2 linked regions of the Astyanax mexicanus genome follow. The protein of the gene in region 1 binds, or shares a complex with, the protein of each later gene. Links are inferred from orthologs where the notes say so. Each region holds a gene or a part of one and is shown in the gene's direction. Other genes may lie near its edges.

Region 1 (6,872 bases):
GTGGTGGCTTGTTGTAAGAAGGGCCATCCATGTCATTCTTCAGTGGGGAAACTAATATGTTTGTTTGAGGGGACTTTTATTGACTGGTTTCCCTCCAAAATGGCAGGAGGTGACATCACAACACTTCCTGTTTGGTGCTATTTAAGGCTGTGCAAGCCGTTTGGTTAGGTTTTGTTTTAGAGCTGTTTGAGCTTATGGAATTGGAATTGTTTAGCAACTTGCAAACAGTAAGTAAATGTAAATATATTTATAAGTGGAAAATGGCTTATATATTTAATTTGATTATTTATTTATTTATTTATTTATTTATTTGATAAACACCACTAGTGATGGGCAGATGAAGCCTCATTGGGTGTATGGCACATTTCCCAAACTGTATCGACACTGTGTTGAAACTGTGTTGCTGTATCACTTAATGGCGACATCTGCTGGACTAAGAAAGTCATTGCAAGCAACTGCGCGAAGAAATGCATCGGTCACGTGGTTTTCCTTAAAATGATACGCTGTCTGACACAGGGGTTCGCCTTGTTTGCTCGGTGCATGCGCTGAAGTTTCAGTGTCGTCAGACCCATCGCTACCAAACGATACAGGAAGTGTATCGGTCACGTGGTTTTCCTTAACTTGATACGCGCACCGACACGGGGTTTCGCCTTGACAGCTCGGCGCATGTGTCGAGGTTTCAGGGTCGTCAGACCCATCACTAAACACCACCATCTTGCATCTGACCCAAAGCTTTCTCCTATATTTTTTTTTTCTGCCAGACCATCACAAAAGTAAATTATTCAACAAGCATAAAGTCACGGTTTGCTTAAAATAGTAAGTAGAAAATGTTTAGAATTGGATTTCTCAGTTAAATGTTAAATTTTACCTCATCTCTTATGGTGGCAGTTGTCTATTTTATCCTTTAGTCCTTCACCATTGATCACATTTCTGGGTGGTGTTTTTTTTTTCCAGTCTAGTAGTGGCACTGAGGAGTTTAAAAACTCCAGCAGCACTGCTGTGTCTCAACACTACTAACACACCACTACCATGCCAGTGTCACTATAGTGCTGAGTAAAGTTCTGGACACAATTGTAAATTCAATTCAGCATTTAAAAAAAATAAAAAATAAAAAATGTTCTAAATTAAGTGTTTTTCCACATTCTTTAACAAAAAGATGGTCAGTATTTCAGTCACACCTCAATGTGATTTTAGTAATTCTAGCTACACTTTATGTTGATACGGTGCATGTTGAAGATTTGCAAATGTTAGAGTATTAAAGAGTATTAAAGTAGAGCAATATTAGAATTTGTTGACACCTGATCAAAAATTCGGTTATCATGAATATTTGGTTGAAGAAATTTTGATCTGATCTCCAAAAGACATTGAAGTTAAAAATAATAACTTTTTCAATGTTTTAACCATAGTTGCATGTTATTTTATTGCACAATATTCCAAAAAAGGTTCAAAAAGGGTTGAAATATAACCAATTATGTTACCAAAAACCTAGGATTAGACTTAATTCGCCTATTAATACTAGGGCTTGCACAGGCGTATCTTTTTAAAGGTCAGGTGATGCAGATTTAAAAACATTTTGAATACTTCTAAGACCTCTAAGACCGTGAAATTTGATCCTAACCCTTGCCTGATGCCTTCAAAGCAGAGGAAGGATATGAAAGATAGCAAAGCGTATTCTGGTGTCTGTTTCCTCAGTTCAGTTAACAGGAACATTACAGGTCAGTTTGAGGTCTAGAGGACCAAGAAAAGAGTACTACCGGCAGAATTGCTAGTAAGCAAAGGAAAATCAAACCCTCTTTTTGACAACAAATGACCTTTAGGAAGATTTGTCAAGACAAATGGTGGAGTGGGGGAGCACTATTCTACTGTGAAGTAACATCTCTATGAAAGTTGACCTCTATGAAAAAGTTACTAGAAGAAAATGTTTTTTTTGCATGACCTCACCACAATATTCATTGTTTTAAACATAAAAAATAAAAAAGAGAGAGAAAAATTGTGCTTAAGGAACAGTGTTTTGAGCACAGTACAAGTAATTGAGTGTTAGGGAGCACCATATAACTTGTATGTAATGTATTTCAAAAAAGAAGGATCTTTGTCTAACGTTAAAGATTGCATTTACGTTTAAAACATCCACACAAATATCCACATGTACAGTACCTGTATTTTTCTGACACCTCTGCAGCCTGAATTTTTATTTATTTATTTTTATTATTTTTACATTCATATTCTTGTATTCTAAGTTATAAACAGTATTTGACAAAAATATATCCACATAACATGTTTGTGTCTAAAATTACAGAAAACGTTGCAGTTAGTTTAGAATTACCTGCTAAATCTGGCAATATAAAATATACAATTCACATGTTTTTTGTGCATAACCTCATGTAGCATTGCATTAAACAGTGTTTTCTCATCATTTAATCATGTAATTTTACAGTATTTTTTTCTGTTTTTATTCTGAAATCTCATACAGAAAATTATAGTGATTATTTTTTCTCTTCTTTTTATTATCTTTTTCTCTATAAAGCTATATACTGTCGGTCCCAAGCTCACTTTGGGCTGGATCTAGCCTAGCAATCCTGAAGATATATTACTGCCCACAGCTAAAAGCTAACAGTAAAGGTCAACTAATAGCTGTGTTTGAGAAGAGCCACTGGCTCTCCTGTTGTCTATTTTCAGTTCCAGACTTTGCTGAAGGTCCAGAGTTTTAGTAAAGAGCTGTGGATAAAAATGTTTTCTACGTTGTATATGTAGCCTATTAAAAGACATATAAAAAAATATTTAAAGGACACATGTGGAATTGTGTAGCAAACAGTAAAAAAGTGTCCACAATCCCCTGATCTAAACCTGGTCAACTGAAATGGTGATTTGGGATGAGCTGGAGCTTCACAGCTTCAAGTAACTACTGTTCAGCACCTCCAGAAACTCATAACGGCCAACATTTCTCTTAAAATTTTAGTTTCTTTGATTTTACCAAATGGAAAACCTCTGGAATATAATCAAGAGGAAGATGATCCCAAGCCATTAAACCAAACTGAACTGCTTGAATTTTTGCACCAGGAGTGGCATAAAGTTATTCAAAATCAGTGTGTAAGACGGTGGAGGAGAACATGCCAAGATGCATAAAAGCTCTTAAAACTTGAACTCTTAAAACTTTATTAATATGAACTTATCTTCTTTGCATTATTTGATGTCTAAAAGTTCTGCATCTTTTTCGTTATTTCAGACATTTCTCATTTTCTGCAAATAAAAGCTCTAAATGGCAATACTTTTATTTGGAATTTGGGAGAAATGTAGTCTGTAGTTTATAGAATAAAACAACAGTGTTAATTTATTTTAAACATATGCCTATAAATAGCAAAATCAGAGAAAAACATTATGATTAAGACATTGAAGTGATCTCTTACTATTTTTCCACAGCTGTGTATACACACACATTAAGGTTTTCAAGGTTTATTTCATTTATTTTCTACATTGTGCATTCATATTAAAGACATGAAAACAATTAAGGGACACCATTAAGGCAGCAACTATTGTTCAGCACCTCCAGAAACTCCTTCCTTGTGTTTTTAGTACCTTAAAATTGCAATGTTTAAAAAAATAAATAAATAAAAGAAAGAAAAAACACATTGAGTGAGAAGAGATCGGTATTGTGTGTGTGTATATATAGATATTAAAAAGGGAGCGAGAGAGAGAGCGAGAAGGGGCGCGTGCACTATAGTCATTGAGAATGGCGCTGCGTCATTTCTCAAGGTTTTCGATTCAGCGCGCGCCTCCTCCTCCTCCTTCTCCCCCTCCTACTCCATCACTCTCCAGCGATATAAAAGCGCGCGCGCCAGCTTCCCCAACCCGAAGGGTCTTCTCTTGTGAGCCGACAGTTCAGAGTGGTCTTCTCCATCATCTGCATCATTTTTTTTATTTCTTTGCTTGTTTATTTTCTTTCTTTTATTCTTAATTCTTTTTCTTTTCTTTTTTTGTACCCATTATGATCATATAACCCAACCAAGCAAATGCGCACCAGATGCGTCCTGGGTTTATTGTATTTTATAGTTTAGAGAGTTTAGTTTAGAGACGTTTAAAGACGTTTAGACTTCTAAAAATAAACTGTTGAGCGCGAGGATGGACGCGAACGGCACTTTAACAGTGCGGAACTTTTCCAAGTTGCGCGCTTTAACGCAGCAACTTATAATCAACCACTCCGCGCCGTTCCACGCCAACGGCTCTGGCTCCGGCACCGCGTCGCAGGAGGACCTGGACGTGAACACGGACGTCTACTCCAAGGTTCTGGTGACCGTCATCTACGTGCTGCTGTTCGCCGTGGGCTGCCTGGGCAATTCCATCACGCTGTACACGCTGCTCACCAAGAAGTCCCTGCAGAACCTGCAGAGCACCGTGCACTACCACCTGGCCAGCCTGGCCGTGTCCGACCTGCTGATCCTGGTGCTCAGCATGCCGCTCGAGCTCTACAACTTCATCTGGGTGCACCACCCGTGGGCGTTCGGGGACGCCGTGTGCCGGGGCTACTACTTCCTGCGCGACGGCTGCTCCTACGCCACCGCCTTCAACATCGCCAGCCTGAGCGCCGAGCGCTACATGGCCATCTGCCACCCGTTCAAAGCGAAGAGCGCCATGTCCCGCAGCCGCACCAAGAAGCTGATCAGCGGCATGTGGGCCGCCGCCTTCCTGCTGGCCACCCCCATGCTCTTCACCATGGGCCAGCGCACCGTGGACGCGGTGCCCATCTGCACCACCATCGTGTCCACCGGCACCGCCAAGACCGTGTTACAGGTGAGGGGCGGGATTTTACCGGATTTTTATCTTTACTGGATTTTACATTTGGAGAGATGCGTTATATTATGTGTAGCATCATTATTAGAAGTAGTATTAATGTGGCAATGCGTTTTTTTTATAATTTTTATAAACTTAAAAAAAAAAAAACTTGATCAGCTCACACAGGAGATAAAAATATATATATTTTTTTGGCCCAAACCGACTTATCGACTAATTTTCTATTTTTTTTTTTTTTTTTTTTTTTTTACTAAAAGTCAATACAGTTCTGGAAAAAAAATTAAGACACTGATTAAGAGTTTCTGAATCAGATGGTCTGATTTTGTTATTCAGAGGTATATGTTAGAGTAAATAAATGAACATGTTTTATCTGTGTGTGACACCTCTTGGTTTTATAGTTCTGAAGTCTAAAGAACAAACATCCCGGAGTTTAAGAGGATTATACAGCTCTGGAAAAAATTAAGAGACCATTTCAGTTTCTGAATCAGTTTCTCTGATTTTGCTATAGGTATGTGTTTGAGTAAAATGAACATTGTTGTTTTATTCTATAAACTACGGACAACATTTCTCCCAAATTCCAAATAAAAATATTGTCATTTAGAGCATTTTTTTTGTAGAAAATGAGAAATGAAAAAATTAAAAATTAAGATGCAGAGCTTTTCACCTCAAACAATGCAAAGAAAACACGTTCATGTTCATAAAGTTTTAAGAGTTCAGAAAATAAAATATTTGGTGGAATAACCCTGGTTTTTAATCGCAGTTTTCATGCATCTTGGCATGTTCTCATGTTCTCCTCCACCAGCCTTGTATACTGATTTTGGATAACTTTATGCCACTCCTGGTGCAAAAGTCCAAGCAGTTCAGCTTGGTTTGACGTCTTGTGATCATCCACCTTTCATCCTCTTGATTATATTCCAGAGGTTTTCAATTTGGTAAGATCAAAGAAACTTATAATTTTGAAGCGGTCTCTTATTTTTTTTTTATAAGAGGCTCCACACAATAGAATGCAGTATACAAGTAAGACGTGATTTTTCAATCAATTTTTTTTTCAACGCAGTAGGCGGGGCTACACTGCTGTTTGACTGGCTAATAAATTTCTATTCTGATGACTAATAGGTCTGAATTTGTGTGAAGTGAAAGAATACACAAAACATAGAAAACATGTGTGTCTGAAAGGGTTAAACAAAACGAAATATTTGTCTGAATTAAGGCAGAAAGCTGAAATTTCATGTTTTTTATTGTTTTTTGCCACTTTTTTTAACACTTTTTGTTTTGCTCTTCAAAGAAAAAGCCATTTCAAAAGGACAATAAAGTTAAGTATTGAGTGAAAGCATTGAGCTGAATATTTTAATATCGCAGTTTTGTGGACATACCAACAAAGCCCAGTATTGTTTAATACAAATAATTATTTCTTTCTCTGTATTTGCTCGTTATTGTTTTTAACCTTATCCTCATGACTTTAATTTAGCCCAACTATCTTTACTCATACAGACAGTGAGTTGCACACATTTCTACTGACCAAAAGTCAAGTTTTATAAGCTTAATAGGGTTAAAGTTTTATATATTTATATGTATTTGCCTGCCTCATTTGCACAAATGAAAAAATCTTTCAGAAGCTCTGATTGGTGTGATTAAATTATTTGTTTTTTATTGTTCATACAAGGGGTGTGCCATATTGTTTTGTACACAATAATATTGCCAACATTTTTGAATATCGTGAACGATATTATAACCTTAAATGTCATGCAATATCACCACCCCTAATTATCACATCAGGGTACTACTTTTGCTGTTTTTAGCAAACGAAAAATGTGGTGTGCTGCAGATAGTTTATCATGAAAACCTGCAGCCACACCAGGCATTTGTAATTATTGACTGATGCCCCTGGTTTAAACCATATTAGTGTGGGATTTGGAACTGGCCACAGTCTAGAACCCTAAAGCACAGACAGTTCCCAGAACATTTTCGAAGGCAATATTGATGAAGATGGCTTGGGGAGGTGACAGCACACAAGATGGAAAGTAGATCAGTGTGGAGAAGTCCAATATACAAATTGATGGAGCCGAGAGCCAATGGGGCAGACACGA
Region 2 (7,736 bases), on another chromosome or scaffold:
CTCTCTCCACACACACACACACACACACAACCACACACACACCAGGCACCTGCATCCATGTGAGCTGAACAACAGCACCTTGGTAACTCGAGCCTGGGCGCCATACAGTTGAACAACACTGTACTGTATGCAGCTTCTCTGGTTACAACAGCAAAGGCATTTCTCTTTTGTGTTAGCTACACGATTCTCTCAGCTCCAGCAGCCCCTCGGCACACATTCCCACAGGCTACAAATTACACTAAAAGTCCTTTTATGTTTTAAATTAAGAAGAAAAAGACACATTCTCATTCAGTCTAGCTCTTACTCCTGTAGCTGACCCATGTAAAAATTGTGAAACTCTTAACAGAGCGTCTGAATTCCCTCCAGCCGCTGAAAATCACCCTTTAAAAAAGATAAAATCCTCCTTCACCTGTTTTTCAAACGAGCCTTCAGAAAGTGTTTTCCAAACGGCGCCATTGCTCCGGTTCAGACCCTCAGTCCGCGCGGCTGAAGCGCTCAGTCCCGCTCCATTCTGAGGTCTCTGGGTTCTCAGTCTGGCTCTGAGAGCGGCGGTACTCGCGGTGGGAAAACTTGTAGAAGTTGTGGAGGAGTAAAAAAGCGGGGCAGGCTGGTTAGCAGAGGGCCGTCCCAGAGCACCAGAGGGAGGTGACCTAATGGAGGGCTGGAAACAGAGAGCAGTGCCTCACAGATGAGTCCCAGCACCTTTACCTGCTGTAATTATCACACTTTCACACAGAGAAAAAAACACCACAACACAATCAACAGATAATATAGCCTCCCTAATATTTCCCATTAGCTCAAAAGCTCTACACAAACAGGTCTGAGAGGGTTTAAATATTTTAAATGTACTCAATTACTGAATAGCTACTGATCTGAAGCTGTAAGTTTTCCCTCAATACATTTACATATCTCTTATTATTAGCTTATATTATATTAAGCACGTTATAAACAATGTCAAGTCCCTTTAAGAGTAACACAACTACTACTGCACTGGAAAAATATTGTTTATAAGCTCACAAACATATTTTACAGTGTTTTCCTGGTTAAAAACTTTCTCTAGATCACCTTAACACGACAAAAATACTTGTTGACTGCTTGTTGATCAAGTGTCACGTGATCCATCTGGCCATTTTAACACAATTACACACAATTAGTGTTGTTAAGTAAGTTGTGAAGTACTATATGTGAAATAGGTGAAATATGTGAATATCTTACTTGAGTAGAAATTTTGGTTATCGATACTTTACTTAAGTAATTCTTTTTCAGACGACTTTTTACTTAAACTTATAATGATCCTATTTTCTTTTCTGTGATTTTACACGAAATTAGTGTTGTTATGCAGATATGAAGTAAGATATGAAGTACTACATGTGAAATACTTTACCTTACTTAAGTAGAACTTTTGGTCATCTATACTTTACTGGAGTAATTCGTTTTCAGACCCCTGAAAGTCTACTTCTACTTACATTTTAAAAATAGTCTCTTAACTTCTATTTAATTTCATCAGTCACAAACAAAGAACCATATCCAGATAAATTGCTCCATCCGGATAGAGTGAATGTTATTGTGGTTGGATGAGAAGTATAAACATATACCATTCCAAAACCCTATTGGTTTATACGATCCATCACACCTGCACACGTCACGCCCACAATCCAGCAAGAACAAAGCAGACGTATGTAGTCTAGTATGAAGATGATGCATGTAGATACTTCAGAGAACTTGAGTGAAATGTCCCAACTAAGTTTAGTACAATTTGCAGTGAAAGCTTTTGTCCCTAATGGCATTTTTTCCTCATTACATTACTTTTACTTTTATACTTTAAGTAGTTTTGAAACCTGTACTTTTACACTTCTACTTGACTAAAGAAGCTTGAGAACAGAAGTATTTTAAACCCTAGTATCTATACTTCTATCTGATTAATGCATGTAGTGAATGTTTGTTTAACTGCAATGCCTTTTCTATATACCCATCTGCCACATAATTAAAAAACATATGTAAAAAGGTTATTTTCCCTCAGCAAGAGCACCAGAAAATGTCTTAAAAAAAGATAATTTTCTAGCAGCAGGGTGCCTGAAAATCTTGAGAGTAAGTTTGAACACTGTGCAGTGTGCTCATGGCACAACATTGTGAATTATCTGAGTTTGAGTGAGGCCTAATAGTGGGTGCCAGATGGTTGAGACATAACATCTGTGAAGTTGCACGGGCGTTTATCACTCCTCCATCCACAGAGTTCACAGTGTGTGTACCAGGAATACATCATGGTGGGCATTACCCCCAACTGTGGACAGGGCAGTGGGTGTTAATGATCCAATCTGGTATACAACCCAGTGGTCAGTTGATATAGCAGAACAAAGAGAGTTAAATTGACCTACCATATTAATAACCCTAAAAACTGAGTTTACCCACTTTAACTCTGTAGTTTTTGTTGGGTTGTTTGTCATTTATAAATGTATTGTCTTTTTCTTAATAAAATTAAGTATTTATCAGTGAGCATGTCTAACAGAAGCACAGCTCCATTAAAACTGAACAGTGTGCTAATCAAAATTGAATATTTCTTAAAATGTAAAATGTCTTCTTCTCGGTATCAGGCATGTTTGTTCCACCCTGTGAAAAGGGAAGATGAAAAAGGAATTAAAAACACTTTTACAGACATTAAACAACATATATTTTACTTCTTTCTTACCAGAAACAACACCTGTACCTTAAATAATACTATACAAAAATAATGGGGAATAAATTAAGTGATATAAAACTTAACCTTTTCTAATGTTTTTGGTTATACAGCCAGGTTATCTAAGTATCAGCTGGCAGTCTAATATTAATCAACAACAATACAATAATACCACTGTTTATGTTAATTCTCTAAACAAATGAATTCTGAACTACAAATCAACAATTTAGATAAGTGCTACAATTTCAAGTGATACTTCAGTATCACAACTTCCAAACAATATGATAACTTCTAAGCGAACATTAGCTAATCCTATCAGTCACACAGACAGCTTAGTTTAAAATAAAGTTTTTATCTGAAATAATCCACACATCTTGATTAGATTTACTTCATAGCTACTCGTAAGATGTATACTTTTTGGAAATGTGTTTACAGATCTTTGCAACATTTTCTGTCAAATACAGCTTCAACTGTGAAGGTGTTTCAAATGAAACAAAGGATTTCTGTAATGTAACCTGTTATCTGGTGGCTGGGCTACAGAAAACCTACACCAAAACTACCAGTAGTGTAAAAACCAGAATGACCCAAAATGACCCAATAGTAGATGTTAATGGCACCTCATTGAACTCTTGTAGGTGATCATCCTACACTCCTACAGGTGTTCATTTAATGCTGTGGGTTTTTTTTATTTCTAAACTGTTTTATTCAGAGCTGTTTTTCTACTTCATTTAACACAAGGCAGTAATTACACACGGGAGTTTTAGCTGTGCATATGTTCTTCAGTAATTAGGCTACAGGAGGGAAACCCAGACTTAAGTTACAATGAATGCACTGTAGTAAAGATAGCTGTTTTTGGTTTTGTTTAGACTGCTGTCCAAATTTGGCAAATCTACATTGTTTCTAAATTGACTTTTGATCAGATTTTTGTAATCAGATCCAAACCATATTTGGAGGGATTTAAACTGCAATGACAATCGTATGCTCTGGATGCTCAAATCAGATTTCAATGTGTCTTTTGCATCACTCCCACTGCGATAAACAATGACCTACACATCTATAGTGATGCAAATGGAATAAGAGCTTCAAAGGTTTGTTAATGACGCTAATCTAGCTACCAAAGCAACTCATGCCGATAGCCACATCCAATCTGATTATTTGCAAATAAACAGTGCAGACAGCATCTCAACATATGTGATCTGAGAAACAATGAGAAACAAAATTGATTTGCCTGCAGTTTGAACATAGTCTTGCAATTAGACAAAACACAAGGGAATACCGGTACTAGAAGTGTGCAAGATAAATGTGCAAGATCCAGAAAGCATAAAGGATAATCAACCTTTAATAGTTATGTGTTGTTTTCCGCTATTATGAAGTGGTATTAAATTATTTTAAATATAAATACATTGTTGGGTACATAACAAAACACATTTACTCTTGATTGGCATTTTATTTTAATTTATTTATTTGTTTGGATGTCAAGTACAGACAAGCCCTTGGCAAAAATAAAAAGGTTTACTGATTAAAAGTTTAGAACTGGTCTGCTTGTTTTAGTGAGATATGAATAAGAAATGAGATATAAATAATACAAAAATAACAAGCAAAAAAAGTACAATTTGCTTTTAAATGCTAGTGATAACTTCTTGAAGAAAAAAAGATCTTAACAAACACTTGTGATTGGAGATGCAACAGCAGATATATATTCCAAGCCAGTTATGGTCTATCTTATGCCTGAAAGCATTATATTATCTTTTATGCATGTAAAATATTCATGTCCCCTGTTTACCACCTTCAAACAAAACTGATGCAAATAATTTGGTACCTTACTTTCTTCCCTCCGTCATTTTTCCTTAATTGTCAACTCATATCTCCGCTTGAGCGTTTCACCCCCAAAAAAGGAGAAATGCGCAGGTCAGATGAGCGGGTATGCAAGTTTTGACGTCAGTCGCCAAAGTGGCCAAAGTGGTGTCATCTGATGGCGTCACACGATGGGGAGCTGATGGAGAATGGAATAGACGGGGAGGATGGGGTGAGCTAGAGAGGGGTGGGGGGAGGTGTAATGAAGCAGCCCCTGTGACATCACTCCAGTGCTTATATACTGGGGGAATGGAGCCCATCAGTCCTCAGAACAAGCCGAGAGAACGCAGAGCGACAGGCTGGATAAGAAACCAAGACCAGGGACCACTTTCTCTCCCAACTCCCATCTCCATCTCTCTTTCTCTTTCCCTCACTCTTTCTCTGTCTCCATCATCCTACTTCACTCTCTCCACTCTTTCTCTCCCTTCTTGACCTTTAGCCTTATGGACTCGGGCCTAGCCTAAACTTGTAAGGTCTGCAGGATTGTTAGCAAGATGCAGGTGACCAAGATGCAGTTAACCAGTGTGGTGCTCCTCTGTTTGATCTGCAGCGGATTCAGCTCAGGTAAGCCCGTCAGTCAGTCACTGCACAGGCAGTCCTGAGCTTTCTTTCACACCTAATTTACCCTGTCAGATAATTATTATATAAAACACTTGCAATCTGAGATCTTCACCTCAACTCTTAAAGTTGTGCAAAGGAAAACTCTTTTAGGAATGCAGTGCATGGGACAGGACTTAATTACAACAATGTTATGAATTTATTGCTTTAAAAAGGTACACCGAGTATTAAAAACAAAAAAACAAGATGATATCACATCATATTTAAACTCTATTTAATATCAGTGTTTAGGTGTTATAATATTTTATATCCTCACTGTCCAAAGAAAAGCATGTATTTCCAAACTATAGTTCCATTTTAAAGCATTTTTATTGATCCATTCATTGTATTTTGACTCAATGTGAAGGACAGCTGCTGTGTTCAAATGATGTATAAAGCTAAATCCTGAAAAAAAAAGTAGAAATAAATCATTTTCTTTGGACAGGCACAACATGGTTACATTCTATGGTGTACATACTCTTCCTTTAGAAATTGATTAATTATGTTAGAAGCATATTTTGTCATCATTTATGAACTTCAGAGGAAGAGTGAATAAGAGGGGAAAGTGATTTACTCTAATAATTAGGATAGCATTTATTGTGTTCTCATGAAATGTGAGTTCAAGTTTACAGCTCCTGCAAACTTATGGCTCCTAATAAATAAATCTAAGAAATATGGTGCAGATCATCTGCACCTTCACAGCAAAAAAATAAATTAAAAATGCTCACGTCTGCTCATCGAGCACGTCCAGGCAAGCTGGAATCAGAGCTCCTTAGTTTAAAGTGCAGATCCGCCGAGGGAGTTAGGATACATAGGATTTGCACAGGTCATCTTCATCATTAACCAGGTTCACCTAAGCTCGTAATGTTTGTTACATAGTTATATATAATATATATATAGTGTTTCTATTATATAGGCATATATATGCCTACAAATAACATTTATGGCTGTTGTTCTTTAATCCAACAGATGTTGATGAAGCAAAGGATGCCATGGAGGAGGAGATGCTGAGCAGTCTCTACACCTCAGAGGTAAAGTGATAGTTTCTTCACACCTGTTTGTTGAGGCTCACCAGTTCTGACTGGTGGACATTAAAGATATGCAGAGGTTCAAGGGTGTGAGATAAAAAAGAATGGTCTCAGAAGTACACAGGGTTTATGGGCAAGACAGATGTTAACAGTGAGGGGGAGTTTAAAGCTGGCTTCTGCATCAGCAGGGAGTTTCACATCGATTGAACTGCCCTTTGACAGAAGAACACACAGGATACTGACCTTACTACTGTAGGCCCTCATGACTTCCATAGATCTATGTTCGAACCAATCGATGGGAAAAGCTTCTAGATTTCAGAAATGCAATGAATTAGTGAACATTAATTAGAAAATATTTCCAAAGAGGAGGTTCTTATTCATATGAAATTTTCAGAGATGTTCTAAATATCAGTTTCCTGATCTATTTTTCCCTTTTATTATTTTTAGCTATTGCTTAACTATATATTAGAGTTTCAAAAGTGTCACTAATATTTTGAACGTTTTTCATCTAATTATTAGCTGAAGGACTGCAATAGCACATAACTTTCTGCTTTTAAGAGACCTCAACTGGGAATATATGGGAATATATTCCCATTCCATCCCTACTATGGTCAGAAAGAAATAAGCCAATATCATATCATGCAAAATCAGTTGCAAAGTCTAATAGGGATTGTCATATTATCAAATGACTCTTCTCTGACCAATTTTACAGGTCACCCGATATCTTCACTTTAGATGTCTTAATGATGATTTACCACAGGTTAATAAATTGCTAGACTCTATATCATGACACCTTCAGATTCAGATCAATAATTTCTGTCACACAATGTGCAATCTATGGTACTTAAGCCAAGTGAAGTGCAATCACACTGAAATGAAAAGCAGTGCGTCAGGATCCATTGGTGAGCAAGATGACATGTTTTAGCTGTGATGAGCAGACACAGCTGCCTGATGCAGGATCATTGAGCATCGCTTTACAATAGCAGTTTAGAAATGCAGGTGAAGGTTGTTCAGGACATGGGTAATAATAATATGAAGCTTAATAGAGCTGGGGTTATGTTTTAGACATATTGGATATTAAATGCAAGTAGGTCAAAGACTGTAGATACTGGACCCAATTTTTTTTTATTACATATTTTACACGTTTTTTTCAGTCCAGTGTATAAAAAAAGTATGGGGAGTGTGATAAATGCAGTTAATGCACTTATAATATGTAATAATATGATGCTTAACAGGGCTTGTCTTAGTTTATGTAACTGCTGTGAAAAAAGTACAATAGCATGTAACACCACATCATCAAATTTACTGTTGTTTTTCATCTTAAAAGTTAAAAAGAGATATTAAATTAATTATGCTCTCATTTAGTCTTAAGTCAACCAGCCCTCTAGTGTATAAAAGGGCTCAGGGAGTGTGGTAAATGCAGTTACACCAATGAGAGTTTTTTTCCCCGTGCCTCATCCTTCAACAGGAAACAAAGCAATCTGTCATGCTGAACAAATTCCCCCTCTCTCAGTCCTAATGCTGAGTGGAGTTCTGTACTCACTGCTTTTTTAAACCAAGCTAATTGGATAGAAGAGGAAGTT

What was found. The genes of interacting proteins can lie anywhere in the genome.
Region 2: the proteins of ntsr1 (region 1) and nts are in contact, whole or in part, in a crystal structure (PDB 4BUO), measured with the Rattus norvegicus proteins. The link is inferred for Astyanax mexicanus from reciprocal best matches to the Homo sapiens genes NTSR1 and NTS. Residues at the interface, in NP_001102437.1 of Rattus norvegicus: Ser53, Asp54, Leu55, Asp56, Asn58, Phe128, His132, His133, Tyr146, Met208, Val224, Cys225, Thr226, Pro227, Ile238, Arg327, Arg328, Phe331, Cys332, Tyr333, Ile334, Ser335, Asp336, Trp339, Phe344, Tyr347, His348, Tyr351; in NP_001095851.1 of Rattus norvegicus: Arg157, Arg158, Pro159, Tyr160, Ile161, Leu162.

The regions. Positions count from the first base shown.
Region 1 is NC_064420.1:31,972,692-31,979,563, forward strand, and holds the start of ntsr1 (neurotensin receptor type 1), read left to right. Parts: upstream 1-3,859; 5' UTR 3,860-4,116; coding exon 4,117-4,785; intron 4,786-6,872. UniProt on the Homo sapiens protein: G-protein coupled receptor for the tridecapeptide neurotensin (NTS). Signaling is effected via G proteins that activate a phosphatidylinositol-calcium second messenger system.
Region 2 is NC_064416.1:21,497,789-21,505,524, forward strand, and holds the start of nts (neurotensin/neuromedin N), read left to right. Parts: upstream 1-4,724; 5' UTR 4,725-5,022; coding exon 5,023-5,092; intron 5,093-6,094; coding exon 6,095-6,156; intron 6,157-7,736. Other genes in the region: rassf9 (ras association domain-containing protein 9), read right to left, coding at 410-456. UniProt on the Homo sapiens protein: Neurotensin may play an endocrine or paracrine role in the regulation of fat metabolism. It causes contraction of smooth muscle.